4 linked regions of the Sus scrofa genome follow. The protein of the gene in region 2 purifies or fractionates together with the protein of the main gene of each other region. This does not show direct contact. Links are inferred from orthologs where the notes say so. Each region holds a gene or a part of one and is shown on either strand. Other genes may lie near its edges.

Region 1 (8,136 bases), on a different chromosome or scaffold from region 2:
TGGAGGAAAGGCTGACTAGGAAAATGATAGTTACGGAGTGACCGTTAAGTGTCAGACATGCACAGCGTCCTTCACGTGTTTTATGTTATTTCATTGCATCCTCATAACCATCCTCCTAGGGGTATGGTTATCCCCATTTTCTTTCTTTCCTTCCTTCTTTTTAGGAGGGCATATGGAAGTTCCCAGGCTACGGGCTGAATTGGAGCTGCAGCTGCCGGACTACACCACAGCCACAGCAACACCAGATCTGAGCTACATCTGCAGCCTGCACCAGAGCTTGTGGCAGCGCTGGATCCTCAACCCACTGAGTGGGGCCAGGGATGGAACCCACATCCTCGTGGATACTAGTCGGGTTCGTTACCACTGAGCCACAGCAGGAGCTCCAGTTTTCCCCGTTTCCTGAATGAGGAGATTGAGAATCCATAGTCTTTTCTCTCCTTATCATATTATCCTAGGTTCTGCCACTGATGGCTGTGAGCCTTGACAAGTTTTTCAGTTTCCTTATTTGTAAAAAACCATGGTTATGATGCTTAAGTCCTTTCCAGGTCTAGGGTTCCAGGAATCTGTAAATAGTTACTAGTAGTGTTGCTATTTGGGCACAAAAAAAAAAAGCTATTCAGGGAATTTCCCCCTCTTGGGGAATTAATAGCTTAATAGTAACACTGTCAGATTGTCCAGACTAAATAATTTATTTTCCCATCACACAGTGAGTACCCATTATGTATGTGGCCTTAGAAGGCTACTGTAAAATAAATCAAGTAAATAGGCTTGGTGACAGGTTCTCCATCAGTTGTTACTAGCCCTGGGCACATGGGCAAATAGCTACCTGCAAGACCGTGTGATGCTTTTCAAGTGTGGTATAGGTTAAGTGCTAAGTATTTTTATTAATTTAGGAAGTACTTTGGCATGTGGCCTTTAAAAATTACATTATTATGTTATCATAAATCTTGATTAAGGTAACAAAACATATTTACTATGGCCAGCTTCACAGCTGGGGTGCAATATTTTATAGTGTGTATAATGAGCTGCTAGATGATGGTGATTCTCTGTTCACATCTAAAAAATGAATTGGGAAATTAATTAGAAGCTTTAAAAGTCTCTTTAATTGTGAAAATTAATTTCAAGGAGCACTACCATGTACACACTGAGTATTTAAATAATTGAGGAGGAGGAGGGAAAAAGGTAATTATCAGTCTTTCAAACCTTAAGTCCATTTGGGAAAAAGATTGGAACAAAAATGTAGTGCTAATGTGATTTTCAAAGACAACCTTTACAGCATGATGCATAAAGAAACAAAATTAGCAAGTAATAATCTTTCTTTTTTAAATGATTTTATTTTTCCCATCACAGCTGGTTTACAGTGTTCTTTCAGTTTTCTACTGTACAGCAAGGTGACCTAGTCACACATAATAAGCTTTTAAGATTAAATATTCTCTGAGTTTGGAGCCAGTGTGTTCTAGGTACGCTGATCCTGGCCAGCAGAGGTTATGGCTATGGACTTTGCCTTCCAAGTGTTTTCTGAAAATTTATAGGGGCAATGTTGCTTTCTAATTTGGTTGAGATGCAAATTATTTTATTAAAATTATTTTTTAAAGAAAGGAGTTCCTGTTGCGGCTCAGTGGGTTAAGAACCTGACATTATGTCTGTGAGGATGCAGGTTAGATCCCTAGCCTCTCAGGAAGTTAAGGGTCTTTGGCTTGGAAAATTCCACATGCCTCTGGCATGGCATCCCCCGCCCTCCCCCCCCCCCAAAAAAAGAGGCCTGGGAAGCCATTGGAAGTATTTAAGTGGGGGTGAGGGTCAGGGAGGGAGGGGTTCAGGGAGAGTTCATAATCAGATTTACACTTTGACATTCAGTCTGGCTGCTGGTAGAGGACAGTTTGGAGTGAAAACGGGGAAGGAAATGGGTGAGAATGGTCCAAGTGAGAGACAAGGGTGGTAACATAGAAGCTTGATTTGAGAGCTTGTTTAGGAAATAACATGAAAAGACTTGCAGGTGAATTAGGTATGGAAGGTAAGGTTGAAGCAGGGCATTCTGATTTCCATAATTGGGCTCCCTGAGCTGGGGAACATTGTAGGAGGGCAGGGTTTAGTGGCAGAGAGGGTGTAGAGAGTGTGAAGTGAGTTTGGAAGTACCTTTGTACTTGAGAGGAACCAAATAGAGACACAAAGTAGGCAGTGGGATATGGGGGTCTGGAATTCAGAACAGAGATCTGTTCATATCTGTATGGCCCTTTTTGGTTAATTTTGACTTGAATATGCTAGAAACTGTATTAGATTCTGGGAGGGTAAAGATGGTAAGACATTGATTATTTGTTGAGTGATTTCATGTTATTGCCCTATTGGAAGCTTACTTACCAACAAGACAAGTCAGTAACAGGGTCACAAGACATTGTTAATGGGGGCAGTGATGGCGGAAACAGAAGCTGATCCCAGGGTGTATGAGAGGGGCCCCTGACGTAGATGGGCAACATCAGGGAAGGCTCTTGCTGAAGGGTGTGAAGTCTGTTCCGAGCCTTGAAAGAGGAGGCAGATTTAACTAGACATGGGGAATATAAGAGGTTCCAGCAGTAAAAGCCTTGGTCATGTGAGAAAACAGTGGCATCTCAGAAGAACCAACGCATCTCTGGCTCTCCCTATCGGGGAAAGGGCATCCAGGCTAAGGTTCTTGGAACTGTTACAGGAGTGGCCGTATTTCCACATCCTCTGACATACATAATTGGATGGAGTGAGAGTGTCCTGCAAATACCCCCATGCTGCCACTGAGTAGTGAGGCTGTCCGTGTGGGTGTGTCTCCGGAAGAGAAATGGAGAGTTCTCTCTGGACTGTCTGTACCCTCCCTCCATCCTTTTTTTTTTTTGGTCTTTTGTCCTTTTAGGGCCTCACCTGCGGCATATGGAGGTTCCCAGGCTAGGGGTCTAATGGACGCTGTAGCTGCCAGCCTACACCACAGCCACAGCAACGCTGGATCCTTAACCCACTGAGCGAGGCTAGGGATCGAACGTGAAACCTCACGGTTCCTAGTTGGATTAGCTTCCTCTGTGCCAAGATGGGAACTCCACTCCATCTTTTTTCTACCAACTCATGTCTTGTCCTTGTCTTCGTCAGGTACTCATAGTGAATAATGATAGTAGTATAGTAGTAGTAGCAGTGATGGTAGCGGTTAATATTTATTGGGCATTTATTATGTACCAGGCACCATAGTTTACTTTACCCCATTTGATTCTACCATCAGTCCTCTAAGGTAGCATTTTAGTATCACCACACTTTACAAAAGAGAAAAGGGTTAGGTAAGGTGTCTGTAGGATCAGGCCACTCAAGATGGCTGTTTTCTTGCTCTGTCTCCATCCCTTGCTCTAGGAGGGCCTGCTTCACTTCACCCTACTCACAAGGCTGACCTTACCACATACTGGCCCCAGACCCCAGTTAGTGATTGTTCTTAAAACAAAGGGGCTGTGAGGGACGTGCCCCTTCTTGGTTTCTCTGGTAACTAACGAGCCAATCTGAGGTAACTTCCCCTATAACTGGCAAGCTCCTCCTCCCCTCGGGAGGAAAACCTGCGGCCTTGTCTTGCCCGACACCCACCACGCCTGGTGGGGGTGTCTCTCCAGGGCCTTGCATCAGGCATGTAAGATCGCCGGTCCATAAGCCACTGATGTCTCTGTTGCTGACTCCACCTCTGTTCTTCTGTCTTAAAGCTGGGCAGGTGCAGGTCTTAAAGGCCTTCGGGATGCAGCGCAACAGTGTCAAGGGTTATGTAATTGTCTGTGGTGATACCAAGACTTAGTGTGACTTTGAACGCTCTTTGCTGCCTTTCCTAAGACAACCTATGAGCAGTGCTGTACAATAGAAATGTAATGTGAGCTACAAATGCAAGAAGCCATGTTTGCAATTCAGAATTTTTTATTAGCCGTGATAAAAGAAAAACAGGTAAGATTAACTGGAAATATTTTTATTAAGCCCAATATATCTAAAATATCATTTGGAGTTCCCTGGTGGCCTAGCAGTTAGGAATCCCACATTGTCACTGCTGTGTCTTGGGTGCTAAAGGTGGCACGGGTCTGTTCCCCGGCCAGGGATATTCCGCATGCCATGGGTGTGGCCAAAAAGAAAAAAATTACTGTTTCCACATCTCAATGTGAAAAAATAAATGAGATATTTAGCAAGCCTTTGAAATACAAGGTTTTTTTACAGCACATGTCAATTTGGAGTAGTCATGTTTTAAGAGCTCAGTGGCCACATGTGATGCTTGGCTACCATTGTGGCCAGTGCAGCTCCAAAGGGGCAGGAGAGTGACTGAAGATTCTGACTGTTCTGCTTAGTGAGCCAGAGAGAGAAAAAAACCTGCTGAAAATCTGCAGATGAGGGAAATTGAAGAAGGCAGAGTGGGAATTCCTGGGTCTGATCCAGTGAGCAGGGGCGAGTGGAGAAGAATTTTCTCTTTGGCCCTGAAGCTGAGGGAGGTGTTTTTTTCTTCCCACACTGAGACTCAGCATTTTGCCTTAATATTACCGATCATGGTTAGTTTCCATAGTGGGCCAGTCTTGAAGCGCTTCCAGGAATAAATAGGCATTTGTGGCTGGCCACCAGATACTGCAATGGTGTTTCTGTGGAAAAGACTGAAGAATGCTAAGGCTTATAAATTACTCGGTGTTGGAATGTCATCTTTTGTTAATTATGGAGGAGGTAAGATTGGAGAGAAAACTGTAGTGATCTAGTGATGGTTTGCTGTGAGATCAGTCACAGCTGTTAACAGCCCAAGGAAAGGATAATTAGCTTTTTAAGTTTCTGTGGGTGGGTAATGCTCATCACCTGCTACTTTCTTCACCCCGTAGTTAAACTCACAGTAAGCCTTCACCCAAATGTTTGTTGAGTTGCTTATTAGCTGAGAAAGCTACCTAGAACTGAGCTGTTTGAATCATTTCTTTCATGAACTTCTATTCTTTTTTTTAGGGCTGCAGGTGCAGCACATGGAAGTTCCCAGGCTAGGGGTTGAATTGGAGGTGTAGCTGCTGGCCTACACCACAGCCACATTTAACACAGGATCTGAGCCGCATATGCGACTCACACCACAGCTCAGGGCAGTGCCAGGTTTTTAACATACTGAGCAGGGTCAGCGATTGAACCTGCATCGTCATGGACACTAATCAGATTCGTTTCCACTGAGCCACAACAGGAACTCCTGAACTTCTATTCTTAAATGCTTTCTTCCCCTGGGTCCTTCCCCTTAGAAAAAGCAGCACAGGCTATCCTAACAAGTTAAAAACATAGGAGTGTAGAGATAATGAACAGCCATATCCTTCCTCTGTTCTGAAAATTAGATCTTTGCATTGTCGAAAAGCACATCAACAGGATGTGCGAATGGAGAAAAAGGATAGCAAGGTATCAAAGATTTTTACCAGAATGTTGACTCTTAGGATTGTACTGTTGTTAACATATGTTTACATTCCTGAAGTATCTGTAGAATTTACAGTTGGAAAAAATAGTAAATCACTAGAGACTTAGCAAGAGTACACCAAGAAAAGTGCTGCATAGTAAAGTGGTTTTATAAGTTGAAAAATATTTGAAGCATATGAGAAACATCATAGAAAGTATGATATAGAAGTATAACCTTGACTACTAAAGTGGAAATTAGGAAACCAAATACGTGTTGAATATTGGGAGGAGGGAGAACTTCCTAATGAAAATATCTGGTTGTAAATAGTTTAGAGACTTTTAAGATGAGCACATTTTATTTATTTATTTTTTTGTGGGGGTGGGGGTGTGCCTGTGGCATGTGGAAGTTCCCAGGCCAGGAAGTTCCCGGGCCAGGGATTGAACCCAGGCAACAGCAGTGGTAAGGACTGATCCTTAACCCACTGGACCACCAGGGAACTCCTGAGCACATGTGTTTTTATAATCAGTTGCTGAGAGTGACATGGAGTCCCACCTTTGTGTCCCCAGCCTATCCTTGGATCATTTTATTTCAATGTAATATTTATTTATTGAATGCTATCCTTTTGGGACACAAGAGAGATCTTGTTGCTCCTCTCCAGGAATTTGTGTTTTGGCTCATTTTTAGATAACTATTAAAAATCTTTTATGTACTAAAAATCTATTCCCATCAATATTTGCTCATTTCTCAGATTTCTTTTCAGGAAAGTATAGCAAGTCCAAGATCATCTATATCAGTGTTTTCATCCTTTTATTTGGGGAAAAAAAAAAAAGAGGCTTCTTTTGATAAATATTTCATTAAATATTTCATCACCTTTTAAACTTCTCAAAATTTTTTGAAATATCATTTATATAAAAGATAAATCCTTGTTTTAAAGCAGAAACTTCAGAAGTACCTTGAGTTTAAACATAAACCTTCCCATTCACTCCTTTATGTCGTCCGCTCACTTCCACCTCCTCCTTGGGGTTACTGCTGTTAACAGTTAGTGTGTGGCCTTGCAGTCTTCTTTTCTAGGTATCTATTTACTTAATTCAGTAGATGTTTAAGTAACGTAAGTATATACACACATTTACATATATTTATATTTACATAATTGAACTGAGGCCTGCTCTCTTCACTTACTGTGTTTTGGAGCTCAGGTCAGAACATTCAGATCTATTCCATTCCTATTAATGCCTGGGTTACATGGATACATTGTAATTTATTTGCCACTTACATATTGATGGTTTTTTTTTTTTTTTTTTTTAGGGCCCTACCCACAGTATATGAAAGTTCCAAGGCTATGGGTGGAATTGGAGCCACAGCTCCTGGCCTACGCCACAGCCACAGCAACGCTGGATCCGAGCCATGTCTGTAACCTACACCACAGCTCAGAGCCATGCTGGATCTTTAACCCACTGAGCCAGGCCAGGGGATGAACCCGAAACCTCATGGTTACTAGTCAGATTCATTTCCACAGCACCACAACAGGAGCTCCTATTGATGGATATTTAGTTGCCCCCCCACCCCCGCCAACTTTTTATTGTTACAGGCAATACTGAATCAATAGTTCTAGAAGCACAATAGCTGGGTTATAGGAAATGTGTATTTAAAAATTTGACAGATTATGGAGTTACATTGTGGGAACAAACCCGCTAGCATCCATGAGGATGTGGGTTTGATTCCTGGCCTTGATCAGTGGGTTAAGGATCTGGCATTGTCATGAGGTGTGGTATAGGTCGTAGACACGACTTGGATCTGGTGTGGTGGTGGCTGTGGTGTAGGCTGGCAGCTGCAGCTCTGATTTGACCCCTAGCCTGGGAACTTCCATATGCCGTGTTTGGCCCTAATAAGACAAAAAATTTCCTACATAGATGATTTAGTTGTAGAGCTTTAGAACTTGAAGGACCACAGGATGGTGGCCCCCTTCTCCCCTTTTCTTTTTTTTTTTTTTTTTTAAATAATGAATTTTATTGCATTCATAGCCTTCCACCCCTTTTCTAAGGTAGAAAGTGAATCTTAGGGACTTGGAAATGATTTGCCCGGATCTTTCCAACAGAACTATGTGTACTTCCCAGTCTCTGATCTGTTCCCTTGGAGGCGTCTTAGACACATTTTGTAGTGCAAGTTTCTACCATACTGTTTATCTGTTTCTGTCTCTGTTTTTACTCAAAGCAAACTTCCTTTCTAGTTTCGCATTTTCTGATAGTGCCCTGATAGAGACTCCTGCCTTTGCCATCTTGTCTGCATGGAACATCTTTCATTTAATAGTCTTAAAAAGTTCTCTTCTTCCATTATTTAAAACCCTCCTTATCCACAGAGTGTGTGGGTTACTTTAGATTTACCCATAGGTACAGCTCAGCACAGGAAGTATTGTATGAATCTTCCCTATCAGCAGCTCACCCCCTGCTGTTGGCCAAGTAAAACATAAGCTGCTGCGTCTGTAAACTTAGAGAAGGAAATAGACTGCAGGTATTTATCTATTTCATCAATTCTGCTACATTTGATCATTTTATGTTTGTCAATAATGTGATGGCATTTAAACAAAATGAATTTTAACAGGAAATAGTTTATTAGTCACAATTTGTTTTTTCTTTTAGAATTAATGTTAAGAAGGTAGTCTGGGAGTTCCCATCCTGGTGCAGTGGTTAACGAATCCGACTAGGAACCATGAGGTTGCGGGTTCGATCCCTTGCTCAGTGGATTAATGATCCGGTGATGCC
Region 2 (7,646 bases):
ATTTATTGGCTCTGCACATTTTTTTAAATGAACCATATTTGTTTGGTTTTTAATTTTTCATTTGTGCTGTTATCATTCATTAAGGAGAACTAAATTTCATTTTATACAGATTCCAAATAGTAATGTTTTTAAAAACAGTTTTAGGAAGTTTTCGCCATTTCTCTAACATATTGGTAGGAAAACCTTTATTCCCTACTTATAGGTCTCAGTAAAAATATACTTGGTGTTAATCATTAAATGACATCTTTTGTCCTTAGATTTGCAGGAAAGCATATCCAGAATCCATCGCACAATTGAACTAATGTACTCTGACAAATCTATGATACAGGTAAGTTGACTTTTGAGCTAGTAAGCATTATCATAATCATTTACATATTTTAATTTATCTTTGATATTTATCTTTTTTTTTTTTTTTTTTGGTCTTTTTTTGCTATTTCTTGGGCCGCTCCTGCGGCATATGGAGGTTCCCAGGCTAGGGGTCTAATCGGAGCTGTAGCCACTGGCCTACGCCAGAGCCACAGCAACGCGGGATCAGAGCCGTGTCTGCAACCTACCCCACAGCTCACAGCAACGCCGGATCCTTAACCCACTGAGCAAGGGCAGGGACCGAACCCGCAACCTCATGGTTCCTAGTTGGATTCGTTAACCACTGCACCACCACGGGAACTCCTGATGTTTATCTTAATTCTCTTATACATTTTGTTATGAAATTGCTGAACTTAAATATTTTGTATTAGTATTTTCCTCATTCAGTTGTATTCTCATACTGGATTTATTGCCGTTTTGTCTTTTTTTTTCTTCACAGCCATACCGTGGCATATGGAGGTTCCCAGGCTAGGGGATCGAATCAGAGCTGCAGCTGCCAGCCCATGTCACAGCAGTGCGGGATCCGAGCCACCTCTGCAGCCTATGCCATAGCTTATGGCAGCTCTGGATCCTTAACCCACTGAGCGAGGCCGGGGATTGAACTACATCCTCATGGATACTAGTCAGATTCATTTCTGCTGAGCCATGATAGGAACTCCCTCTTACCTACCTTTTTATTCTTTTATAATAAAATTTATCAAAAACTTCCAGAAGGCCTTAATATTTAAAAAAAAAATCCTATGGGAGAAATTATATGATTGCTAAGAATATGTTTTTTAAAAAAGGAAATAAAAGGAATTGCTGCTGTGGCGCATCTGGCATTAAGATTCTGGTGTTGTTTTTGTGGCATTGTGGGTTTGATCCCTGGCCTGGCACTAGCACAGTGGGTTAACGATTTGGCATTGCTACATAGGCGTAGGTCACAGCTGTAACTTGGATTTGAACTCTGGCCTGGGAACTTCCATGTACTGTAGGTATGGCCAAAAAAAAAAAAAAAGGAATATTAAGGTTATGGGAGAAAGTAAAAGGCTCAATTATATTTTAACATCTGAGGTACATTATAGAAGCCATTTTGCTGAACTCATCCATCAGTTTATAATTGTGAAGACTTAGACAATGTGCTGTATATTTCTTCACAATTCTTTGTTTGAAAGAAATAAATAGGTCAACAAAATACGTTTCCAAAGTTTTAAAAATCATCCTCTTTATACACTTGTCTGTTTTACATGTATTTAGTTTGCTTATCCTCCCCCCACCCCCGCCCTCATCTTCTATTTCATAGTTTAATTTTTTCAAAACTTTAATTCTAGCCAACTTACTCTTGTTAAAAAACATATATCCTTATAGAATCCTCCAGTCTGATGGTTTGTGACTTTCATGGAATGTGGCATAATAGATTACCTAACTGCAATTTAACTCTTCTGTTTTCACATCTAGGTTCCTTATCGTTTACATGCTGTTTTAGTTCATGAAGGCCAAGCTAATGCCGGGCACTACTGGGCATACATTTTTGATCATCGTGAAAACAGGTGGATGAAGTACAATGATATTGCTGTAACAAAATCATCATGGGAAGAGCTAGTGAGGGATTCCTTTGGTGGTTATAGAAATGCCAGTGCATACTGTTTAATGTATATAAATGATAAGCCGCAATTCTTAATACAAGGTAAGAATATAAAATATATAGGGTGGTATTTATTTTTAAATAAGTAGCCCTTTTGTGTGACTCTGGTCTCTGGTGTGATTAGTTGAGTGTAGTTTACTTAGAGTATGATGGATATGATTAGAAAATGCTCTTGGATTATTTTAAGTGAGAAAACTGGAATTGGAAAGTAATGTGATAATTACTTGAATGTAATATGTATTCAAAAACTTTTTAGTATCTATTATGAAATGTGAATATGACTTCTTTCTCCTTGTTAACATCCCTTTAATGACTCTATCAAACATTGGCTCATATTCACACTCTTTAGCCTAACATGTAAGGCCTCCACTTTCTGACCTCTGTCTCTCCAGCTTCGTTTATAACTATTGTCCATTTCAAACTGTATATACTGATATTTGAACTTCTTGCCATAGTTGGCTAATACCAAATAATTTCAAACATTTATATCTCTCTGCTTATATTTTTTTTTATTTATTTTTTTGCCAGTAATGATACTACTCTTTCTTCTTTTGCCTTATTCCTACTCATCTGTCAAGACTCAATTCAGTGTCATCTGCTCTGCCACGTTTTCCTTGACCTGCCAGAAAGTGCTCCTTCCTGTTTCTCATAGCGTACCTCTACTGGGCACTTACTTACTGTGTATTAGAATTGTGTGTTGACTTGTCTTTCCCACTTCACTCTGATCTGGTCAAAGCCAGGGACCATGTCATACTATGTCTTAATCTTTTTGTTTCTCATATTCTGGTACAGGCTTTGCATATAAAAAAACACTTAAAGGTTTGCTGAAACTGATAAAATCACCTTTCCTTTTGTATTTAGGCATTTAGCAAAACTGGCTAGGTAGTTCATTTACAACTGAAAGCTAAAATTTATTTTGTGTGTGTGTTTACTAGAGATTGAATAACCATTTTAAATACTACGATTGACTAGTTTTAAAATTGCACATAGGTGTATTGCTGTACTTAACTACTTCAGATGAAAAGAATTTTGGTTCTCTTTTGAGCTTAATGTTATTTTCATTTTGTTCTCATTTTGTGGTAAGTTTTACTTCATGAATAATCAAACATCTGTATTTTACCATAGAAAAAGTGCTATGTAAGTGTTTGAGTAGCAGACAGTTTTGGCTTTATGCCTTGTTCCATGTTTTACTCTTCAGATTAAAAATAAAAGCTGAATATTACCTCTAATGGATTATCAAATATTTGCAACACTGCTTTTCTGAGCTTTTGTTTGAGTTTTAGTTTAAAGGTAGTATTGATTTGCTAAATGGTAATAATTTGTACTTTAAATTTGAAATGCCTTCATTTTGAGCTTTACATTTTTCCTTTAATCCTTAATTTTATAATAGTTTTTGAAATATGATTTGCAGAGGAGTTTAATAAAGAAACTGGGCAGGCTCTTGTTGGAATAGAAACACTACCACCGGACTTAAGAGATTTTGTTGAGGAAGACAACCAACGATTTGAGAAAGAACTAGAAGAATGGGACGCACAGCTTGCCCAGAAAGCTTTGCAGGAAAAACTTTTAGCATCTCAGAAATTGAGAGAGTCAGAGTCTTCTATGACAACAGGTTAGTCCACATTTATTGCATTTTATTATCAGTATCATATTTACTACTTATATTTTATTATAAAAATAAGATATACTCATTGAAAATGTAAGAACAACAGAAAACTTTAGTTATCCTAAAGTATGAAGACTCCAGTGAAAATTATCTGAAATTCCATTTCTCAGCGATAACAAAAGGCAACAATTTAGTAGTTTACCCCTTTGCCAGATAACACTGTATATACATATACACTTTTTTCAAGTTAAATCATTCTGCTGACTCTCCCTCTACCCATCTTGCCTACTTTAATTGATTCTTCTTGGCAAGATGCTTAGAAAAGCTGTGAAACTAGTAAGTATAACCCAGACCAATTTACTAAAGCTATCAAGAGAACGAACTCTAATAATTTCATGTTTCAGCAAAATAACACTATCTGTATTAATAACGTGGAGTATTATAATAATTACTATTAGTGTAGAGTATTTGTTTTTTTTCCAAAATTCTTAAAAATAAAATTAACAGAAACTAAATATTTAACATATTCCAAGTAAAAATCTGTGTAGATCTATAGAACAAGTGAGAAGATTAATATATAAAAGTACAAATATTAAAAAATTTATAATTAGCTGATGAAATAAAAAATTATTAAGAATAACACTGCATAAAAGTAAAATATGTTCTAGCAAAATTGAAAATACAATGTCTAATAATTTTTTTAGGATTAATTTCAGCATCATTAAGTTGTGAATGTATTTTAGGGTGACATATTTTGTGCTGTAGAAAAGATGCTATTTCTCTTAATCATTGGGTAAATGAGAAGAGATAAACAGATATTTTCCTTAAACTCATTTGTCTCTCTCCTTTTTAATAACTGAGTAGATCATTTTGAACTACACTCTTTTGTAAGATCAGTGTGTTTTGCTTTTATTTTTTAAGAGAGCATTTTAGGTGTTTATTTAATTTCATCTTTTATAGACAGATTCCCATACAGCTTTACCTAGGTATGTTTCAACATCATCATCTGACCTTTAGAAGGAATTATTGATTCAGTGAGAGATTTATAAACCACAATATGGTATGGCGACTGAGGTAGACATGCACAGGTATTTCCAGACTTGTGACTTGTATTCATATGAATTGAATAGTTTATGCCTTGATTTTGACCTTAAGTGGCATTGATTCAGAATTTTTAAAAGATCAAGATAATGGCATTATGCCCGCATTTTGATATATAAATACCATTGTAATCTGCTGTGAGCTTGGCTGGAGGAGGACTACACTTTCTTCCCATATACATCAAAGGCCACTGTGTAGAGCAGGTGAAACTAGGTTCACAACAATGCAGTTTCGTTACAGTAACTTTATCCACATTAGGAGGAATAAAGTAGCTCACTAAATTTAAAGAAATTTCTGAGTTCCTTTCATTTTTGAGCCAACTCCACCTCTTTGTGATTCCATTCCACTTACCCTTCTCAAATTACTCCCTAGCACTTATCCCTAGAGAGAGCTACTGTATTATCATTCCCTTAACTTTTAAGGACTCTATTTATACATGGCTGTTCTTATTAACAGGAAGATGGGGCTGCATTATAGGCCTTAAGTAGTAGTGGTACCTAAGCTCTGAGACAGAGGAGAATCCTCCCGGCATTGGTTAAGCTCTGCTACTCTTCTTGGCTCACTAATAGTGTGCAGCATCAAAATATTTAATTCTATGTAGTCTCTTCATCTTCTCTGTTTCTCACAAGACTAAATTTACATACTTAACACATCTTATTTTTACTAAGTCAAACTAATACATATTCATATTCCCCACTAATGTTCCTGTCTGACAGGACCAGCCAGCTCTCCCGTCATTTACAGTTATCTTATATTCCCTCTATATGAAAAGGCCATGTTTGTAACCCCACACCCCTTTTTTCCTGATCAATACTGCCTATTTATGTACTTCATAGGCTGTTTTCTAAAGTCTAAAAAATTCAGTAGTAGGTATTAGACATATATTTTCATGTGTCTAATTTTAGTATTTAGAAAAAAAACTTGAAAAATAATACAGATATATTTCTGAGAGCCAGAATAAGTAAAAAAAAGAAAAGATTGAAAATGTCAGTTCATCAATAATTATCTTCCAGACATGGTGTTTAGAAAGCAGTGGTAATATTGCCTCAATAGGAAACACTGTGTCCGCTATAGAATTGCTAGAAATAAATGTACTTTGAGTTAGTAGAAAATACTTTGAGTTAGTAGAAATACTGTGTACTAAATCTGTTAATTTGGGGGGTGAGAGTATTGCTTAAAAGATTGAGGGTTTCCATTGAGGCTCAGTGGGTTGAGGACCTGATGTAGTCTCCATGAGGATTCAGGTTCGATCCCTGGCCTTGCTCAGTGGGTTAAGGATCCAGTGTTGCCAAAAGCTTTGGTATAGGTCACAGATGCAGCTCGGACCTAGTTTTGCTATGGCTGTGGTGTAGGCTGGCAGCTGCAGTTCTCATTCAACCCCTGGCCCAGGAACTTCCATATGCTATAGGTGTGGTCTTTAAAAAAAATGGTTGGTTTCTATTATCATATTCTCTTGCATATTATATTAAGAATCTAGGAGTTCCCATTGTGGCTCAGTGGTAATGAACCTGACTAGCATCCATGAAGACGTGGCTTTGATCCTTGGCCTCACTCAGTGGGTTAGGATCTGGCATTACCATGAGCTGTGGTGTAGGTCACAGACACAGTTTGGATACCATGTTGCTGTGGCTGTGGTGTAGGCCAGCAGATCCAGTTTGACCCCTAGCTTGAGAGTTTCCATATGCCTTGGGTTTGGCCTAAAAAGACAGAAAATAAATAAAGAAAAAAAGAAAGAAGGAAGGAAGGAAGAAAAGAAATCCATCTTCTGTTGCAGGGGAATATAACATAACCACAGTTGAATAAGGGAATCTATTTTAATGTTCATTGGAATCCTTTGTCTCCTGTCATTAGTAGAAAATTTTTGCTTTCATGCCCATGCCATCTTTTTCCTCTTTCTCCTCATAGTTTTCAAAGTAATCTCTTTTAATTTAGTGTAATACTTTCAGAATGTCAAAGAGAATCTGTATTTAAATCTTTCAGGTGTGCACTAGGGTTATGAGTGAGTGACTAGGAAATCTTGTTTATAAAATCCCTCATATGTGGAAAAAAAAAGAAAAGTAGGATCTCCTGCCATGGCACAGTGGGTAAGAATCTGACTGCAGTGGCTCTGGTCACTGTGGAGGCATGGGTTTGATCCCTGGCCTGATTCAGTAGGTTAAAGGATTCAGTGTTGCTGCAGCTGGGGTGTAGTTCCTGGCCTGGGAACTTCCATATACAATAGGTGTGGCCATTAAAAAAGAAGAAGAAAGGTCTATCATAGTGATTTTTCTTCCTTCCTTGCAAATTTTCTCAATAAAGCTATAACCTAAGAACCATTAAAATCTGATTTCTTGAGTCATATTCCAAATAAGAATATTAATTTATGTAATATTAATTAAATGAGTATTTGTCCCTCTTCTGCTGGCATGTGACCAAGAAATCCATAGGCATCACTCCTCTAGCACAATTCATTGTCTTAGTGAAGCTAAGTAATGATAGGAAAGTATTCTTTAGTCCATCTCATGCTACTACCACCCTGCCGCAAACCTACTTACTGTAAAACAAAATTCTCCTGAATACTTCTGTTTAGAGATTTTAGCCAAGGATTTCTTTACTGTGGGTGTATGCATCAGAATTACCTAGGAGACTTTTTCTGAGTGTAAGCAAGACATACCACCTAAGAATTACAGAGATCAGAATCAATGGAGGAAGGGTACAGAATATATATTTTTAAAAAGATCTTAAGGTAATTCTGAGATATACCTCTGGTTGAGCAGGATGGCTCTAGGCTGTGTGTCTAAAAAGGAAATTATTCTGAAGGAGAGAGCTTTGCCTGAGTCATTGTTTTGCTTGTGTTACTGATACCTTACTCAAAAACTATTTGAAATTCTTACAACATACAGCACACCCAGATTTTTAAAAACAGAAAGAAACTGAAAAAAATAACGGTAGGAAAAAATGAAGTAGCAA
Region 3 (8,311 bases), on a different chromosome or scaffold from region 2:
ACTCCTATATACCCGTAACACATGCATTATACTGTATATCAATAATACTTCGATTAAACAGTTCTTCAATTTAAAAAAAAAAGAATGGTTGTTTTGAGATAGTGGAACTGTGGGCATTTTGCTTCTCTAACTACCTGTTTCCTGAATTCTCCACAGAAGGCACATGGCGAGGTGACAAGGCACTGTGAAAGGCCCCTGTGCTTTGGAGTCACATGGAGCTGGAGTGGCCCCTAACTCTGCCACGTACTGCAGGGAGGTATCGCAGAGCTGTTCTGCCTTATCTGTTAATCAGCTTAGAGGCTGACTGTGAGGACAGAAGGAGATACACACCAAGTACCTATCGAGGGCTGATGGAGCACACTGTCAGGAAGTCTACCTGACGTGTCATTTTTATAGACACAAAAGGTTTTCCTTTTTTAAACTCTTCAGCAGAGGCCCCCATCCGTACAGTGACTCTGGTTCTCTGGGTAGGGAATAATGGTCACCAGTGAGGAGTTTTTCCTATCCCTGGGTACACTAAGACTCACCAGTTCTGTCACTTGGGCTATGAACCTCTGGCTCTGTTTAGATTGGGTAACAGCTTCAAGCTCCTGAGACCTACAGACGAACTAGCCCAAGTCATACTCTTTCCTTAACACGGAGATAGTCCCTCACGGGGGGTGGGTTAGGGTGGGAGGACGGAAGAGGGAGCCTCTTCCCAAGAGAAAAACAGGAGGTTGTATGCAAACTATGACTACATAGCTGTAACACTATCTCCAAACATTCACTTCTCCCAGGGGGCCGGGCACGATAAGATCCCTTCTTCAAGGTTATCATCCCCTCAGCAACACTATATAGTGGTTTCTGTTTACACCTCATAATGGTCTATACTTTGCAGTTTTTTGAATTCTTTCTTATTCACCTCCTCTACTGACATAATGTCTATTACGGTGCAACAATCAAATAGAAACACATCAGAAGTATTTATCAAGTACTTACTCTGATAAATGTCCTGGAAGATCAAAGGAAAGGCTGTGTGTAGCAGAAAAAGCCTTGAATCAGATCAGGTAGCCCTTGGTTCTTTTAGTTCTGATTCTATGTCATTTGGCCAAGTTACCTATCCTCTCTAGGCCCCAGTTTCCTTATCTATAAATTGAGGATAATAATGGTACCTACCTCCTAGAGTTACTAAAAGGATTAGATGAAAATTTGCCCCTCTTGTATCTCGATTTAGTCATCCAGGACACTGTTATTAGAATTAAAAGGAAAATATTCATAAGGAGTATCTATCTGAAAGCAGATGGCATGTAAGTGAGCTTTATTGTATTGTCCTTAAGAACTTTACAATCCAGTTAGGGCGACAACGGTGAAAGATTAGGTAACAAGGGATTGGTGATAACCAAGATGGTCTGAAAAGCCAAAAGAAACATACTGAGTACCCACTGCCCTGTCAAGTCCTTTCTTTGTGATCTCCTGTAAGAAAGAACAACCCTTTGAGATCATTTACTATCTCCCACAGTCCAGGTTAGACCATTAGTAAGGGACAGAGTCAAGATTTTAATACTAAGACAGGACTCTTTTCTACTTCTACATTGCCATAAGACTGTTCAAAATCAGTCTCTGCTGGGTGAGGCCAACATGATAGAGAACCGTGAAAGAGCATGACACTTCAGCAGTATTGTCCAAAGGTGAAACACCATAAATACCAACTGCTGCCCAAGACCTAGAGAATTCTCCACTCATGGTGGAAACGACTGGCCAGCCAGGTTGAATGACCATAACCATCTGTTAAGAGTGGACCATGTATCAGACATCTATAGATATTTAACCACCTTCTGTTTTTCCAAAAGCTCTATCAGATCTCAAGAGTCTAATTTTCTTAAGAATAAGCAACAGGACTGTTAATAGTAATAGCTATCATTTATTGAAGGCTACAACCTATGTAGGTGCAGGCTATTTTTTTTTTTTTTTGGTCTTTTTTTGCTACTTCTTGGGCTGCTCCCACAGCATATGGAGGTTCCCAGGCCAGGGGTCTAATTGGAGCTGTAGACACCAGGGGATCCAAGCCGCATCTGCGGCCTACACCACAGCTCACAGCAACGCTGGATCATTAACCCACTGAGCAAGGGCAGGGATCGAACCTGCAACCTCATGGTTCCTAGTCGGATTCATTAACCACTTCGCCACACCGGGAACTCCCCTGCAGGCTATCTTCAATCCCACCTTCACACAGAGAAGGGACATGTCTTGCCAGAGCTCTCTAGGTCCCTGAATTTGAATCCACTCCTAACTCCAAAGGATCATTTATTTTAAGTGAAATACCGAAGACCCAGGGACCCCCTATTCACAGAAGGCAAAGAAAAGTCGAGAATGTAAGGCTGCCTGTGGGGCTAAGTTAGATCACTACCAAGTTTTTCTTTATTGATATCATTAACACCAGCTGCTTTTATTGAGAGCCGAGTGTCAGGCACAGTACTAAAATTTGAATTACACATCACCCTCTGTGGCACGAGCTCATTATTCCATTTTACAGAGTTGGAAAGTAAGGCTCAGAGAGGAGAGGGAATTTACCCAAGGTCAGAATAAGTAGGATTCAAACTCCGGTTTGGATGACTCCTGAGGCCCGGCGTCTTTTCTCAGCATCGACAACGACAATAACAAGTCTTTTCCACCCAGGATAAGTCCGATTATAAAGGCCTATTGTCCCAGAGGTAAAAAGGACTCGAAGAGACACCCTTGGAGCCCGAAAGCTAGCCCCCAGCACCTGCCCCTCCGACCAGGCAAAGCAGGGACTCGGGCCTCCGGGCCACCTCCCTCCAAGTCCCCGGCCCCAGCCCCCGGAGAACCCAAGACCCTGTCCCCACTCGCTACCCGCAGGCCATAGACCTTTATCCGCTCGAGGCCCCGGTGCTAGAGGTCGGGGCCGCAGTGACCACAGCTTCAGCCCCAAACTGCCGAGCTGTACCAGACCCGGGGCAGCGGCCGCGGCCAGACCGCCATCTTGCCCCGGGGTGTTCTCCATGAGAGTTCCGTCGGGAAACAGCTATTCGGTTCCGGGAAACGAAAGTTCCTTAGAGCTTCTGCGTTCGGGAAGGAAAACCTCCATACATCGTGTCCTCCTCTCTGTAAGCTGGCAAAACAGATGATTCAGGAGCAGGATAAATTCCTGACTCGTCCGAGAAGAGATGCAGCGTATTCGAACCGAGGAATTTGGAAGGAAGGAATCCTATATCTGGGGGTACACCGGATCCTTTAGGAAAGTGCCCTCTGCGGGGCGGAAGGAGGGTGCAGAGAGCGGAAGTTCCCGCCCCGGCCCCACCTCCGCCCCCGGCTCACGCGAACTGGGTGTTTCCTGTCTCTTTCAGTCCGGGTTTGGAGACTCCGGCGTCCTCCGACTTTTCATGGTAAGGAGGGCGGTGCCCATAGACTGGGGGCTCTAGGCAGCGGAGAGAGCAGGACAGAGGCGTAGTAGAGGGGGCAGAGACCTAGAGGAGGGGTGCGCTGAGGGGCAGCTGCGGTAGGGGAGAGGCGGTGGGAGCATTAGGATGCGGGGAGAGCCCGGGGTGGGGGAAGGGCTTTGGACGGAGAACTGTACGTGAGAAAATTGTGTGTGTGTGTAGGGGGGGTGTCCCTGGCTGTTGGGGATCCTGGAAAGGGCATCTGGGCTTGGGAATATATGCGCGGGTGAGTAGAGAGGGCAGTCTCTGAGTCTTAGGGCTGTTTGGAAATGGGAGTTGGTGATTAAAGAGAGAACAAAGAGATGTTATTGAAGACGGACATTTGGGGTGGAAAATGAGAATTTGGGGAGGGTTGTGAAGGAGAGATGGGTTGGTTATGAGAGGGTGAAGTGGGATCCTTAGGAGCGGAGCTTTGAGGGAGCTTTGGAAGTTGAGGTAGAAGGTAATGGTTTTCGGGGAAGTGGCTTCCAGGTACGTCTGAACCCCTGAACCAGTGGAGTGGAGGAAATAAATGGAGGGAGCCCACGGGCGAGTGTGCGCTGGGTCTTGGGAACTCCGCGGAGGATTGCCAGGGGTCTGAAGTCAGGGTCCCTTCGCCACGCAGTCCAGCCCCTTATCTGGCTCCTGGGTACCTATCTAGTCCTTTCCCTCAAGGTCCAAGGTGGTCACGCCTAAGGAGCTGGGGTGTCTCACAGTCCATCTCCTAGCTGTGGGGTGGTTTCTCTGTGCTTGAAAGCCATCAAGGGTCTGTTCCTCGAATAGCTTTTTCCCTGGGTGGGAATGACCAAAGTTCAACCCACATTCTCTTTTTACTTGTTTGTCCCATGGCTCCTCCCTGGAAAGTGCAGTCTTTAGGGCACACTAGTACCAAGGCCAATGCTGAAGAAAAAAAAAAAAAAAAAGATTCAACCTGTATTTGACTTAGGACGACAGTATTTTGTGCAAAATAAGTTCCACCTGAGGGGAAGGAAGCACAAAGCAGTTGTTCTCAAAGACCAGCAGCATCACCTGGGAACTTGGTAGAAAAGGCTAAGTTTTCAAGCCGTCCCGCAGACTTCTGGGGGTGGGGCCCAGCAGTCTGTTTCAGCAAAAGCTGTGCAGGGGTTGAGAGTAATGAGTTTTTTAATTTGGGCTATGTAATAGAGGGGCATGAGAGTGGGCATCGGAGGACCCTAATAGTTCTGATTCCTACTTTTCTTCCCCTAAAATGGGGTTGATGATAACATTTTCCTCACTAGACTGTTGAGAGGAATAGACCGATGGTTTGTGTGTTCAACACAAAAGAAAGAAATTGGGCAGAAGCCATTCTGTAAGTTTCAGATGCAAACCAATGCTACAGTTAACGTGCCTGATTGAATTTAGTTGAAATGGAACAGCAGACTTTTTTCTGAGTTGAAGAAGTGCCCTCAGTTTGGGAAAGTTTTATAATTGGCCTCAAGGCAGTGACTCTTGAATCTGGCTGATTAAAGAAACGCCTTAGCTTTGTGGCTCTCAGCTCTGGCCGCACATTAGAATCATCTGAAGAGCTTTTGAAACACTGGTTTCAGAGTTGCCACACCCTTCCCCAATCTGATGAATTGTTCTGGGGTGAAGCCTCGGCATCAGTACTTTCTAAGTGCACCCAGGTGAGTCCATTGCCACCTGGGCTGGGAACCTCTGGTCTTCAGGAGAGCTTGAGGGGCGGAAGGGAAACTATGCTAAATACTTCATTTATTCCTTGAGGGTTACTATGAAGCATATGGTTTTAACTGAATTTTACAAGTTTGGAAACTGATCCCCTATGAAGCCATTTGTCTGAACTTCACACAGACATGCAGTCCAGGTTTGCTAAATGCTCGTTCTAACCTTCCACACACACATCTCCCCCAACCCACACACCAGGGAGATAGTTAAATAGAGATGTAGAGGAAACCTCTAAGGGGGAGGGATTTGGTGCCTTTTTTCCTGTGGTCCTTGCCTGGGCCTCTTTTCAAGTCAAAGGTTTCCCACCTTGGGCTGATGGTTTATTTTTTAAGCATGTGTACAGTTGCTTCCTGTCTGTATGTGGCCTGAAGCTGTGAGTAGGGACCTGCTTTTGCTTTTGATGATTTGGTTTGTTTTTATGTGTGGTCAGAAATTCACTGGACCCACAGAACAAGAGGTTGAGGAGCTTCTCCAAGACCAGGAAGTTAAATGTAGCCTGACTGGAGTGGGGGCTACACAGAACTTTTAGAACAGTGGGTTGCGATATTGGCTGCACACTGGAATCACCTAGGGAGTTTAAATTTTAAAATTCTTTTGCTCAGGCTCTATGCCCAGACCAATTACATCAGAATGTCTATGGATAGGAGTTGCAGCCACGGCACAGTAGGTTAAAAGAATCCAACTGCAGCAGCTCAGATTGCTGGGGAGGTGCAGGTTCGATCCCTGGCCTAGCACAGTGGGTTAAAGGATCTGGCATTGTTGCAGTTGCGGCTCAGATTCAGTCCCTGACCTGGAAACTTTCGCATGCCGTGGGTTCGGCCATTTAAAAACAAAAACAAACAAACAAAAAAAGGAATTTCCATGGGTAGGGCCCAGAACCAGTATTTTTTCTTAAGTGGAGAACCACTGTTTAGAATCAGCAACAGTACTCTCAGAGGGGGAGAGAAGCCTGGACTTGTCCATCTAATTGGAATAAACTGATTGAATCAATCAGTAACCAATAGCTCAAGTATTAATTACCTCTGTTTCTTGGAACCAATTTTGCTCTCTGCCACCCCACCTCCCCAGCCTTGTTGATAGTGAACTCAAGCCTTTGAAACAAGTTAAAAAGCAAGATCCCAGTGGGGATGGCTGAGGAGTCCTCTGAAGAGAGATTTGCTGTGAGACGCTTATTGTCTATTGCTTTGTGTCGTCTGCTGCCTGTGACTGGCGTTTAGGGACGTGGACACAGCCAGAACCTTTTTGCCGAGGGCCTCTCATAGTGACTGACCTTTGGAAAGGTGGGTTCTAGAAAGGTTCAGAGCTTTCTTTGTCTATTTGGGAGTCTCAAGCTCTAGATCAGGATGGTTTCTGCCTGTATCTCCAAGTAATTCAGCTGAATGTCATTAGAGCTAGAAACATCTCCAGAGAGAGGATAATTTGAGACTTGAACAGCTTTCTCAGATGATCATAGTTGGAGTGCTTCGTGTTTGGTTTGAGCCAGGGGCCGGCTGAGACTCTCTGTGGCATCCTTCACCGCAGCCATGGGGGGAGGTGTGCCTGCTGTCCCTGCTTGCTCGATGGGCTAGTCTCAGAGAGATGACTCGTCCAGGCTCCCGCGGCTGGTGAGCGGCAGGGCTGGGGGCTTAAACTCAGTTCCAACTTCCAAACCCAAGCCCTCAGCCACACATGACCTCCCATCTTTTTCTGTCTTTCTTTCTTTTTTTAGCTTTTTTTTTTTTTTTTTTTTTTTTTTGGTACTTCCTGAAGAAGGGGGGTGTGGGGCTCCCTTTCTCAGTTTATATATCATAACTCTCCATACCAAGCATGATCATTGATACAGTCATGGGCTTGAGGCCAGGCAGGACTTGCCTACATCATTATTGCTTTGTCACCAAGCCACCTCCTCTGTCACCAGTATGCTTTGGGAAGTGACTGAATGTCTATGGGCTAAGGTATCGGAATCCACAGAATGGAAACAATGGCTGTTGTCCAACATCATTTAGGTTTTAAATGGTTGTACTTGGGGATAGAAACTGAAGCAGTGGTATCTTCTGGAGGGAGGAGTGGGAAAGGAGGGGCTCTCTGGATTGATGGAAATGTTCTCTATCTCCACTGGAGTGGGGGCTCCATAGATGCAAAAGTTGTCTGAAACTCATCTGTCTCTACACTTTATTGTGTGCTGATTATCTTTAAAAAGGTATTGGAAAGTAAAGTACAGTACATAAAATTATCCTTTATGATGTCTTTTTTGTCTGTTTCATGGTTAAGTGCCTTACAAAAATGCTACACCATTTCCCAAAAACATACTGACTTTTGTGTAAATTTAGATCTGAAAGGGGTGCTTTAAAGTATTTCCATTGGGGATAAATTTCCTTAACTAACCCTCTCTCCCCCAACCCCCCTAAAATCCTTAACTGTAAGGCCCCCTCCCAGGTCTTTATTCCCATAAGCTGTTTCTGTCATCCCATGGACAGTGTCTTTCTGGGGGAAATGCTTGGTGGTTACTGTTAGTGTCAGTCTCTGGGGGCTGATTTCAGAGGAAAGCTGAAAGGGAGAGGTCACTGCTTGCTTTTAGTCTTTTGTGTTAGGCATCAGGCCACAGAGGCCCCAGGTGAGCTTTTGAAAACCTAACTTCTTGTGATGTTTTCCTTTGATGAAGCAGGAACAGTTTCTTTCGAAAACACTTTGCTCCCCAGGAGGCCATTCTTTGTCTGTGTCACTCTGCAGGACCCTGCCACCAGTTCCCCAGTGGGTGATTTCTTTTGATGCAATGGAGATCAAGTTGGCCATTGTCTCTGCTATCACCCATGGATGGCAGGTTGCTACTTGTCAGTCCCTTCTCCATTTAAAAAATAACAGTTGTGTTTTACCATAAGTGTAATAGGTGTTCATTGTGGGGGATCTGAAAAAGGTAGAGAGGCATAGAGAATTTTAAGAAGACTAAACAATCTTTTTTTCTAGTATCAAGGAATAGTTTTTGTTGTTTTTCTGTTTGTTCTTTGGTGGCACCCTCAGCATTTGGAAGTTCTGGGGCCAGGTATGGAACCCACACTGAAATTGCAACCTGCCCCATGGCTGTGGCAACACTGGATCCTTAACCCACTGTGCCAGAAGGGCACTTGCAGTATCAGGGAATAGTTTTAAAAGTTTTGTGCTGTCTGTGCCCTCCTGGCAAAGCCACCAAGAGCATGTCTGTAGTCAGTCAGGTT
Region 4 (8,408 bases), on a different chromosome or scaffold from region 2:
TATGTATATATATATGTGTGTGTGTATATATGTATATATACACACACACATATTTATACACACACACACAGATATGTACATATAAAAATACACACATATAAAGATGAGTACCTTTGTGTAATTAGCACAAACACAAGCAAAATATTGAAATACAATAAATAGCATAAAATAATTAAGTTCATAAGTACACTAATAAGCTTATCTATGATAGTCTGGGCCCCCCTTATGAACTGGATGATTTAACTTATAGTTGTTTAATACTATCAGTAAACGTTTCCGATAAGTTTAATCCATTTATTTCATGATGGAAGCTGAAAAAAAAAACTGTCTTTTAAAATTACTAAACGAGTGGGAGTATGGTGGGTTGTATCTGTTTGTAATAATTGTTTCTTTAAGAGCATACATCTGGGAGTTCTCCTGTGGCTCAGCAGGTTAAGGATCTGGTGTTGTTAATGCAGAAGCTTGAGTCACTGCTGTGGCTTGAGTTTGGTCTCTGGCCAAGGAACATCCACATGCCATGGGCATGGCTGGAAAAAAAAAAAAAAAAAGCATATCTGTGGTTTCTTAGTTCTTAATCTTTCTTACAAGATTGATAATAAGAAGAAGGATTTCATGGTTTCTTACTTTGACAACTTCCCATGTACAGTAGCTTTATTTGTTCTTTCCCAGAGAGAAACTGATTCCTTGGAAGTACTTTTCCAAGTACATTATGGAGTCTTCACAGCTGTGGGGAGTCCTTCCATTCCCAACTCCTCCACCAAGCAGGTCTCCAGGACTTGCCCAAGCTGATAAATCCAGTAGAATTTCTCCAGGTCAATCCCATTTTAATTAACCTCTTATACTGAACAGTTTGAAGATTTGCTGACGCATTTGATGGAGAACAGTAGTGATCTGAGCCTTCTGGACCTTGCTGCCATCCACCAGAAACAAAAGAAAAACACTGGAACCAGCTAAATGTCCATCAGTAGGGGAATAATCAAATAATGGGAGAAATAAAATATTGCCTGCCAAATCAGTTAACAAAAGCTATTGACCCCAGATAGCTGAAGTGCATATCAAAGGAATGATTTCAGTGAGCCCAGACTCTTGCATCTTCCCATACATACAAAAGAACTAAATTCTTTAACTTGAGATATCTAGTTATTTTTAAAATTTTTTATTTGTTCATTTGTTTGTTTATCTTTTCTAGGGCCGCACCCGCGGCATATGGAGATTTCCAGGCTAGGGGTCTAATCGGAGCTGTAGCCACCAGCCTATGCCAAGAGCCACAGCAACACGGGATCCGAGCTGTGTCTGCAACCTACACCACAGCTCACAGCAACGCCAGATCCTTAACCCACTGAGCGAGGCCATGGGTCAAACCTGCAACCTCATGGTTCCTAGTTGGATTCATTAACCATTAAGCCACAATGGGAACTCCTTTTTTTTTTTTTTTTTTTTTTTAAATCAACAGTAATCTTTTGTTCTGATTGTGTGCCCTTTGTTGCACAACTCCTATATATCCAAGCTTGTCCCTTGCCTTCTTCACAACAGTTTTCTAAAGATTACTTGCAGTGTGGCCTCCCAGGCTTGAAGTCTTAAGAATATCTGCAGAATAAAACATAACTCTCAACTTTTAGGTTGTGCTTTTTTTTTTTTTTTTTAATTTGAAAAATATGTGACACACACTTATTGGGAAACAATACAACTATTTAAAAAGATAAAGAAGAGACTTCCCTGGTGGCTTAGCAGGTTAAGGATCTGGTACTGTCATTGCTGTGGCTGTGGTTACTTCAGTGGCAAGGGTTCCATCCCAGGCCTGGAAACTACTACATGCTGCTGGGGCAGCCAAGAAAAAACAAGATAAAGAAGCTCTCTTTATATGAATGAGAGTATCTCATTAAGTATAGAACAGTGAGTATGGTATGCTATCTTTTAAATAAAAATAGGGAGAGTGTAATATAAGACTATATAGTCATCAATTTGCATATGCATGAATAAAGTGAAAGGATTTAAAAGACAGTAATAACTTCAAACTGGAAAATTTTGGAAGCAGTGTGTCAAAGTATACATTTATTAATATGCTCAAATCTCAATTTCTAGTAATTTTAAAAATGTAAATTCATCAACTATCCTTCAATTTTTTAAAATGTTAAGTTAGTAAAATATCCATAAAGGGAAAGATCAGTAGAGGGGAAATGTGTACTCAAACACTGCTGATGATATTTTGGAAAAAAAAATTTTATATGTCTTCAATCATTATTCTGCTTTTTGGATTTATCCAAAAACAAACATAGTTTTGTGCCCAGATTCTATAAAACAGTGGAGGACAAGAAGGTATATATTTAGGAACAGGTGATGGGTAAAGTAAACCATAGTATGTGTAGTTATCTCACAACTGGATTATCTATTTAAAATTTTCTTTTTTTTGTCTTTTTGCTATTTCTTTGGGCCGCTCCCACGGCATATGGAGGTTCCCAGGCTAGGGGTCGAATCGGAGCTGTAGCCAATGGCCTACACCAGAGCCACAGCAACGCTGGATCCGAGCTGCGTCTGTAACCTACACCACAGCTCACGGCAATGCCGGATCATTAACCCACTGAGCAAGGGCAGGGACAGAACCCGCAACCTCATGGTTCCTAGTCGGATTCGTTAACCACTGCGCCACGACGGGAACTCCTATTTAAAATTTTCTGATTGGAAAACAAGAGCAGGAAAAATTTACTGATAATAGAATTCCATTGGGAGGCAAAAATTCAGACTGTTATTTACATAGCGTGGTCACAATTTGCTATTTAAAAAGAGGCACGTGACGTTTTAAATGATTTAAATCTGAAAATATGAACCAAGGCTATAATTAAAGTGTTCATTAATTGTGTGGGGTAAGAATCATAAAGATTTTTTTTATAGAGGAAGAACTTTAAGATCTTCCCCGTTTGCCACCATTTATCAGGTTTTCTTTCAGTTTCTACTAGAGCCGCATTTCATTGTTATGCAACAGGCAGAAGCCAGGAAGTGTAAATCCCAAAGTGTTCATTTAGGGGGAGCGTTCAGCTGCTTTGAAAGATTTATACCAAACACGATGAACGTGTACCCACTCCGGCTTCTTTAGCCGCTCTAAGTAAACCGAAGAAGCCCCGCCCCTGCCCACACAGCACAGCCCCCCACTTGCACAAAACCCGCCCTTCCAGTCCCCCTTGCCCTTCCTCTCATCCCCCACACTCCCGCCCACTGACAATGTCAGGCAGCCGCGCAGCCGCAGTATTTGCGACGGCCGCTCCTAGCCCGGGGCATCCTGGGACAAGGCCTTTCCGGAAGGAGCGGCTCCGCGTCCCGGGGCTCGGCCCGTTTCCCAGGCCCAGGCCGCTGTTCCAGGCCCCTGCTCAAAGACGGGTCCGTAGCCGTGGCGACGCACCAGGGTTAGTGGAGGGCGAAGCGGGCTGCTCGCTGAGGTGCCCGGCCTCGCCGCCGAGCGAGCCGTGGAACCGCAGGACGTGGCGGCACCTCCCCCCCCTTTGCCGGCAGCGGAACTGCAGGAGGAGCGGCAGCACAGGCCGGACGAGGTGAACCGGGTCACTTAACTGCTTTCAGGTGTTGAATCATCTACATAATAATCAGATTTGAGGTCCACAGCCCTTTGTGGTCCTGCTGCAGAACAATATTCAGTGTATGACTGGTGTGTTCTGAGAGGCGCCACGGCGATTGTTTGCCCTTGTTGATAAGGAACGCGAGCTCTCTTGCTCTTGGGACATCCTCGGTTCCTTTAAAGCTTGCAGGTCGTAACCTCCTTGTCCGGCATACATCTTTGTGCAACAGGAAGGCTTTCACATGAAAGTGTCTCTTGGTAACGGTGAAATGGGCGTCTCTGCCCATTTACAGCCTTGCAAGGCAGGAACCACACGGTTTTTTACCAGCAATACTCACAGTTCGGTGGTATTGCAAGGCTTTGATCAGCTTAGAATAGAAGGATTGCTTTGTGATGTGACTCTGGTACCAGGTGATGGAGATGAAATCTTCCCTGTTCATCGAGCTATGATGGCGTCTGCTAGTGATTATTTCAAGGCTATGTTCACAGGTGGAATGAAAGAACAAGATTTAATGTGCATTAAGCTTCACGGTGTGAACAAAGTTGGTCTGAAGAAAATAATTGATTTTATTTATACTGCAAAACTTTCTCTTAATATGGACAATCTTCAGGACACACTTGAAGCTGCCAGCTTTTTGCAAATTCTACCTGTTTTGGACTTCTGTAAAGTGTTTCTTATTTCAGGAGTCTCTTTAGATAACTGTGTTGAGGTTGGACGAATTGCTAACACCTACAATCTTATAGAAGTAGATAAATATGTCAATAATTTCATCCTGAAGAATTTTCCTGCATTATTGAGTACTGGGGAGTTTCTAAAACTCCCTTTTGAACGGCTTGCCTTTGTGCTTTCCAGCAACAGTCTTAAGCACTGTACTGAACTTGAGCTTTTCAAGGCTGCGTGTCGCTGGCTAAGGTTGGAAGACCCTCGGATGGATTATGCTGCAAAATTAATGAAGAACATTCGATTTCCACTGATGACACCACAGGATCTCATCAATTATGTGCAGACAGTAGATTTCATGAGAACAGACAATACTTGTGTGAATTTGCTTTTGGAAGCTAGCAATTACCAAATGATGCCATATATGCAGCCAGTGATGCAGTCAGATAGAACTGCCATTAGATCTGACTCTACCCACTTGGTTACATTAGGAGGAGTTTTGAGGCAGCAGCTGGTTGTCAGTAAAGAATTACGGATGTATGATGAAAGAGCTCAAGAGTGGAGGTCTTTAGCCCCCATGGATGCTCCTCGTTACCAGCATGGCATTGCTGTCATTGGAAACTTTCTTTATGTTGTTGGTGGTCAAAGTAATTATGATACAAAAGGAAAAACTGCTGTTGATACAGTTTTCAGATTTGATCCCCGGTATAATAAATGGATGCAGGTTGCATCATTAAATGAAAAGCGCACATTTTTCCACTTAAGTGCTCTGAAAGGGCATTTGTATGCTGTTGGTGGGCGAAGTGCAGCTGGTGAACTGGCCACAGTAGAATGTTACAATCCAAGAATGAATGAGTGGAGCTATGTTGCAAAAATGAATGAACCCCACTATGGCCATGCTGGAACAGTATATGGAGGCTTAATGTATATTTCAGGAGGAATTACTCATGACACTTTCCAAAACGAGCTCATGTGTTTTGACCCTGATACGGACAAATGGACACAGAAGGCTCCAATGACTACAGTCAGAGGTCTGCACTGCATGTGTACAGTTGGAGATAAGCTCTATGTCATTGGTGGCAATCACTTCAGAGGAACAAGTGATTATGATGATGTTCTAAGCTGTGAATACTATTCACCAACCCTTGACCAGTGGACACCAATTGCTGCCATGTTAAGAGGCCAGAGTGATGTTGGAGTTGCCGTCTTTGAAAATAAAATCTATGTTGTAGGTGGATATTCTTGGAATAATCGTTGTATGGTGGAAATTGTCCAAAAATACGACCCAGAAAAGGATGAGTGGCATAAAGTTTTTGATCTTCCAGAATCACTTGGTGGCATTCGAGCTTGTACTCTCACAGTTTTTCCACCTGAAGAAAACCCTGGATCACCTTCTAGAGAATCACCTCTATCAGCACCTTCAGATCATTCTTAGGACCAAGCTGTAATACTTTTGCAGTGCATCATGGATGATCCCATACTTCCACTTCAGTTGTATCTTCTTACAGTGATTGGTACAGTTATTAGATTAAAGAGGTAATTGATGTAATTTGTATTGTTTGGCTTAGTATGTTTATCAAATGGTTAACAATGCATTTTAAAAATGTATTCAACATAGCTGTTTTAGCAAATGTAAAAAGATAAGTAGAACAGTGTTTGTTAGATGTCTTTTTGTGGTGTTGTGTAAGTCAAAGTTTAGGTGATGGTAGTAAGTGTATATAATTATGTTTATTATGCTTCAAAGATGCTAAGTTTTCATCTTTTATGTCAAAACATCAAAGGGAGGCTGCTTGCCCTAATCTAAAATAATAAGCAGAAAACGTCTCCAAGTCTTAATAGCTACCTCCCTTTTTTCATGGAGTTTTTGACAGCTGCCAACTCCCCAGATTGTGTAGGTACATTCAGAATACGTGGAGAAGAGTCCCTCTCATAGCTCAGTGGTTAACAAACCTGACTAGCATCCATGAGGGTGCAGGTTTGATCCTTGGCCTTGTTCAGTGGGTCAAGGATCCAGCATTGCTGTGAGCTGTGGTGTAGGTCGCAGATGCAGCTCGGATCCCAAGTTGCTGTGGCTGTGGTGTAGGCCGGTGGCTACAGCTCCAATTCATCCCCTAGCCTGGGAGCTTCCATGTGCTGCAGGTGCAGCCCTAAAAATTCAAAAAAGACAAAAGTATATGTGGAGATTATTAGTAGACTGGAGAAATAATAAATTCAAAAATATTTACTCAAAAAAATATTATAACCCTAAATCAGGGTTTCATATCTCTTTCTAGGGAGAGGGAGAGAAAAAAAATACATGTGCATACATGCACATGCATACACTTATATAATTTTAAATTCGATTGGTACTTCAGTTATAGTGCAGTTGTTTTTAAATTTAAATTCTTTTCTTCTACCCAGCAGCTATTTTTATTCAAATGGGAATTCAGTACTAGAGAATAAATGTCTATATGTAGTCTTAATGAATTGATATAAATAAGGGATACAACATTAAATTGACCACCAAATTTGTCATTTGACTGAATTGTTACTACAGATGAAACTTGTATTATTTTTGCTGTTTGTATATTGTCTTCTGTAGAGTTGCATATATACAGGTTATTCAGCAAAGTTCAGGTCTCAGAGAATTGCTTTTGCTCAGTAAATTTAGGCCCTGCTACTTTCCACCTTTTTGTTCAGTAAAACTTATGATATGAAAAAGGCAAAGATATATGTTGAATAAAGCTATATAGGATTTTAACTTCAGTCTCCCAACTTAGTCTTTCTAACATGACTATCTAATTTGAAGTGATTGCCCTGTGCTGCTCCAGCCCTTGTGCATCCTGAGCTTTGTGTGATCTGCCTCAAGGCTATGTGCTGTTTTGTATCCAATCAGAAAGATGTTTTGGCTATGTCTAAAGCACAGGACCAATTTCAGATTCCTCAAGGAGGCAGCTATAGAAAGTCTAGGCAGCCTTTTCAATACCAAGCACATCCCTACTGGTCGAGAACCACATGAGGAGATCTAATGGGAACTTATCAGCAAATGGAATCACAGCAGTCCTCGAAAGTGAGTGATTCTGAAAAGGTACTTTCCTGGAATAATTGTCTACCTGAAGAAAAAATTATATATGTACATTTACATGCATATATATTTGTATTCCTATACTAGGAGATTGTCATTGTGTAAATCAGGAACAACCTTCTCTTTATTGACAATCTCATAATAAAACTCAGGAACCAGGACAAAAAGGAATTGGTTTCAAGGGATCTGAACCATACTGCCCGTACAGGTGTTGATTCATTTTAATGTTTTTATGATTTCTGCATTGGCAGAAAATTTCACACTTCCTGTTTCTTAATGACTCAATTTATCACCGAAAATAGCACGTTTGAGTATATTTAGGAAATAGAAAAAGTAGAAATTGCTATTTGTGCATTGAATAAGCAAGAAATAGCATCCCAATTATTTCCTTGATTGATGAGGTTAAATATTTGTGGTTTTTGAGTAGCTGTGTTTCCCCTTTAATCAAATGTTATGTCCTTTGCCCTTGTAACACCTATTGGAGTTACTTTCTTTTTCATATCAAGTAACAGGATCTCTTTATATAATAAATGTAATCTAATGGCATTTGTTTGCATTGCTTTTTTTTTCTCAATCTATTAGAGGTTTACAAAGGCGGGGCCATTCAGTTAATTTTTGAGATTTTATTTGTCTTTTGCAGTTTGACCTTTTGGGTATAATTTTGCTATGATTCCTTTATTTTTTTATTTTTTGTCTTTTTGCCATTTCTTGGGCCGCTCCTGTGGCATATGGAGGTTCCCAGGCTAAGGGTCCAGGCGGAGCTATAGCCACCAGCCTATACCAGAGCCACAGCAACGTGGGATCTGAGCTGCGTCTGCAACCTACACAACAGCTCACGGCAATGCTGGATCCTTAACCCACTGAGCAAGGCCAGGGATCAGACCTGCAACCTCATGGTTCCTAGTTGGATTCGTTAACCACTGAGCCACGACGGGAACTCCAAATTCCTTTATTTTTTTACATAGCTTTTTGTTTTGATTTTTTTTTTTTTGACCACACCCATTGCATGTAGAAGTTGCAGCAGATCCTTAACCCTGTTGTGCCACAAAAGAACTTCCTTTTTTTTTTTTTTTTTTGTTGTTGTTCAGAGTTTGATATATTTAATTTTTGGTGCTGAT

What was found. Proteins that work in one complex are often made in the same cells at the same time.
Region 1: the proteins of USP25 (region 2) and BTBD9 purify together in Homo sapiens (affinity purification with mass spectrometry; 3 studies listed by BioGRID and IntAct, counting the BioPlex papers as one, with this or other methods). This does not show direct contact. The link is inferred for Sus scrofa from reciprocal best matches to the Homo sapiens genes USP25 and BTBD9.
Region 3: the proteins of USP25 (region 2) and KCTD10 purify together in Homo sapiens (affinity purification with mass spectrometry; 4 studies listed by BioGRID and IntAct, counting the BioPlex papers as one, with this or other methods). This does not show direct contact. The link is inferred for Sus scrofa from reciprocal best matches to the Homo sapiens genes USP25 and KCTD10.
Region 4: the proteins of USP25 (region 2) and KLHL9 purify together in Homo sapiens (affinity purification with mass spectrometry; 3 studies listed by BioGRID and IntAct, with this or other methods). This does not show direct contact. The link is inferred for Sus scrofa from reciprocal best matches to the Homo sapiens genes USP25 and KLHL9.

The regions. Positions count from the first base shown.
Region 1 is NC_010449.5:34,100,907-34,109,042, reverse strand, and holds the start of BTBD9 (BTB/POZ domain-containing protein 9), read left to right. Parts: upstream 1-2,974; 5' UTR 2,975-3,870; coding exon 3,871-3,930; intron 3,931-8,136.
Region 2 is NC_010455.5:180,663,623-180,671,268, forward strand, and holds part of USP25 (ubiquitin carboxyl-terminal hydrolase 25), read left to right. Parts: intron 1-257; coding exon 258-328; intron 329-1,803; coding exon 1,804-2,032; intron 2,033-3,401; coding exon 3,402-3,602; intron 3,603-7,646. UniProt on the Homo sapiens protein: Deubiquitinating enzyme that hydrolyzes ubiquitin moieties conjugated to substrates and thus, functions in various biological processes including inflammation and immune response.
Region 3 is NC_010456.5:41,439,479-41,447,789, forward strand, and holds the start of KCTD10 (BTB/POZ domain-containing adapter for CUL3-mediated RhoA degradation protein 3), read left to right. Parts: upstream 1-3,149; 5' UTR 3,150-3,164; coding exon 3,165-3,383; intron 3,384-8,311. UniProt on the Homo sapiens protein: Substrate-specific adapter of a BCR (BTB-CUL3-RBX1) E3 ubiquitin-protein ligase complex. The BCR(BACURD3) E3 ubiquitin ligase complex mediates the ubiquitination of target proteins, leading to their degradation by the proteasome.
Region 4 is NC_010443.5:201,586,669-201,595,076, reverse strand, and holds KLHL9 (kelch-like protein 9), read left to right. Parts: upstream 1-3,246; 5' UTR 3,247-3,807; coding exon 3,808-5,661; 3' UTR 5,662-7,836; downstream 7,837-8,408.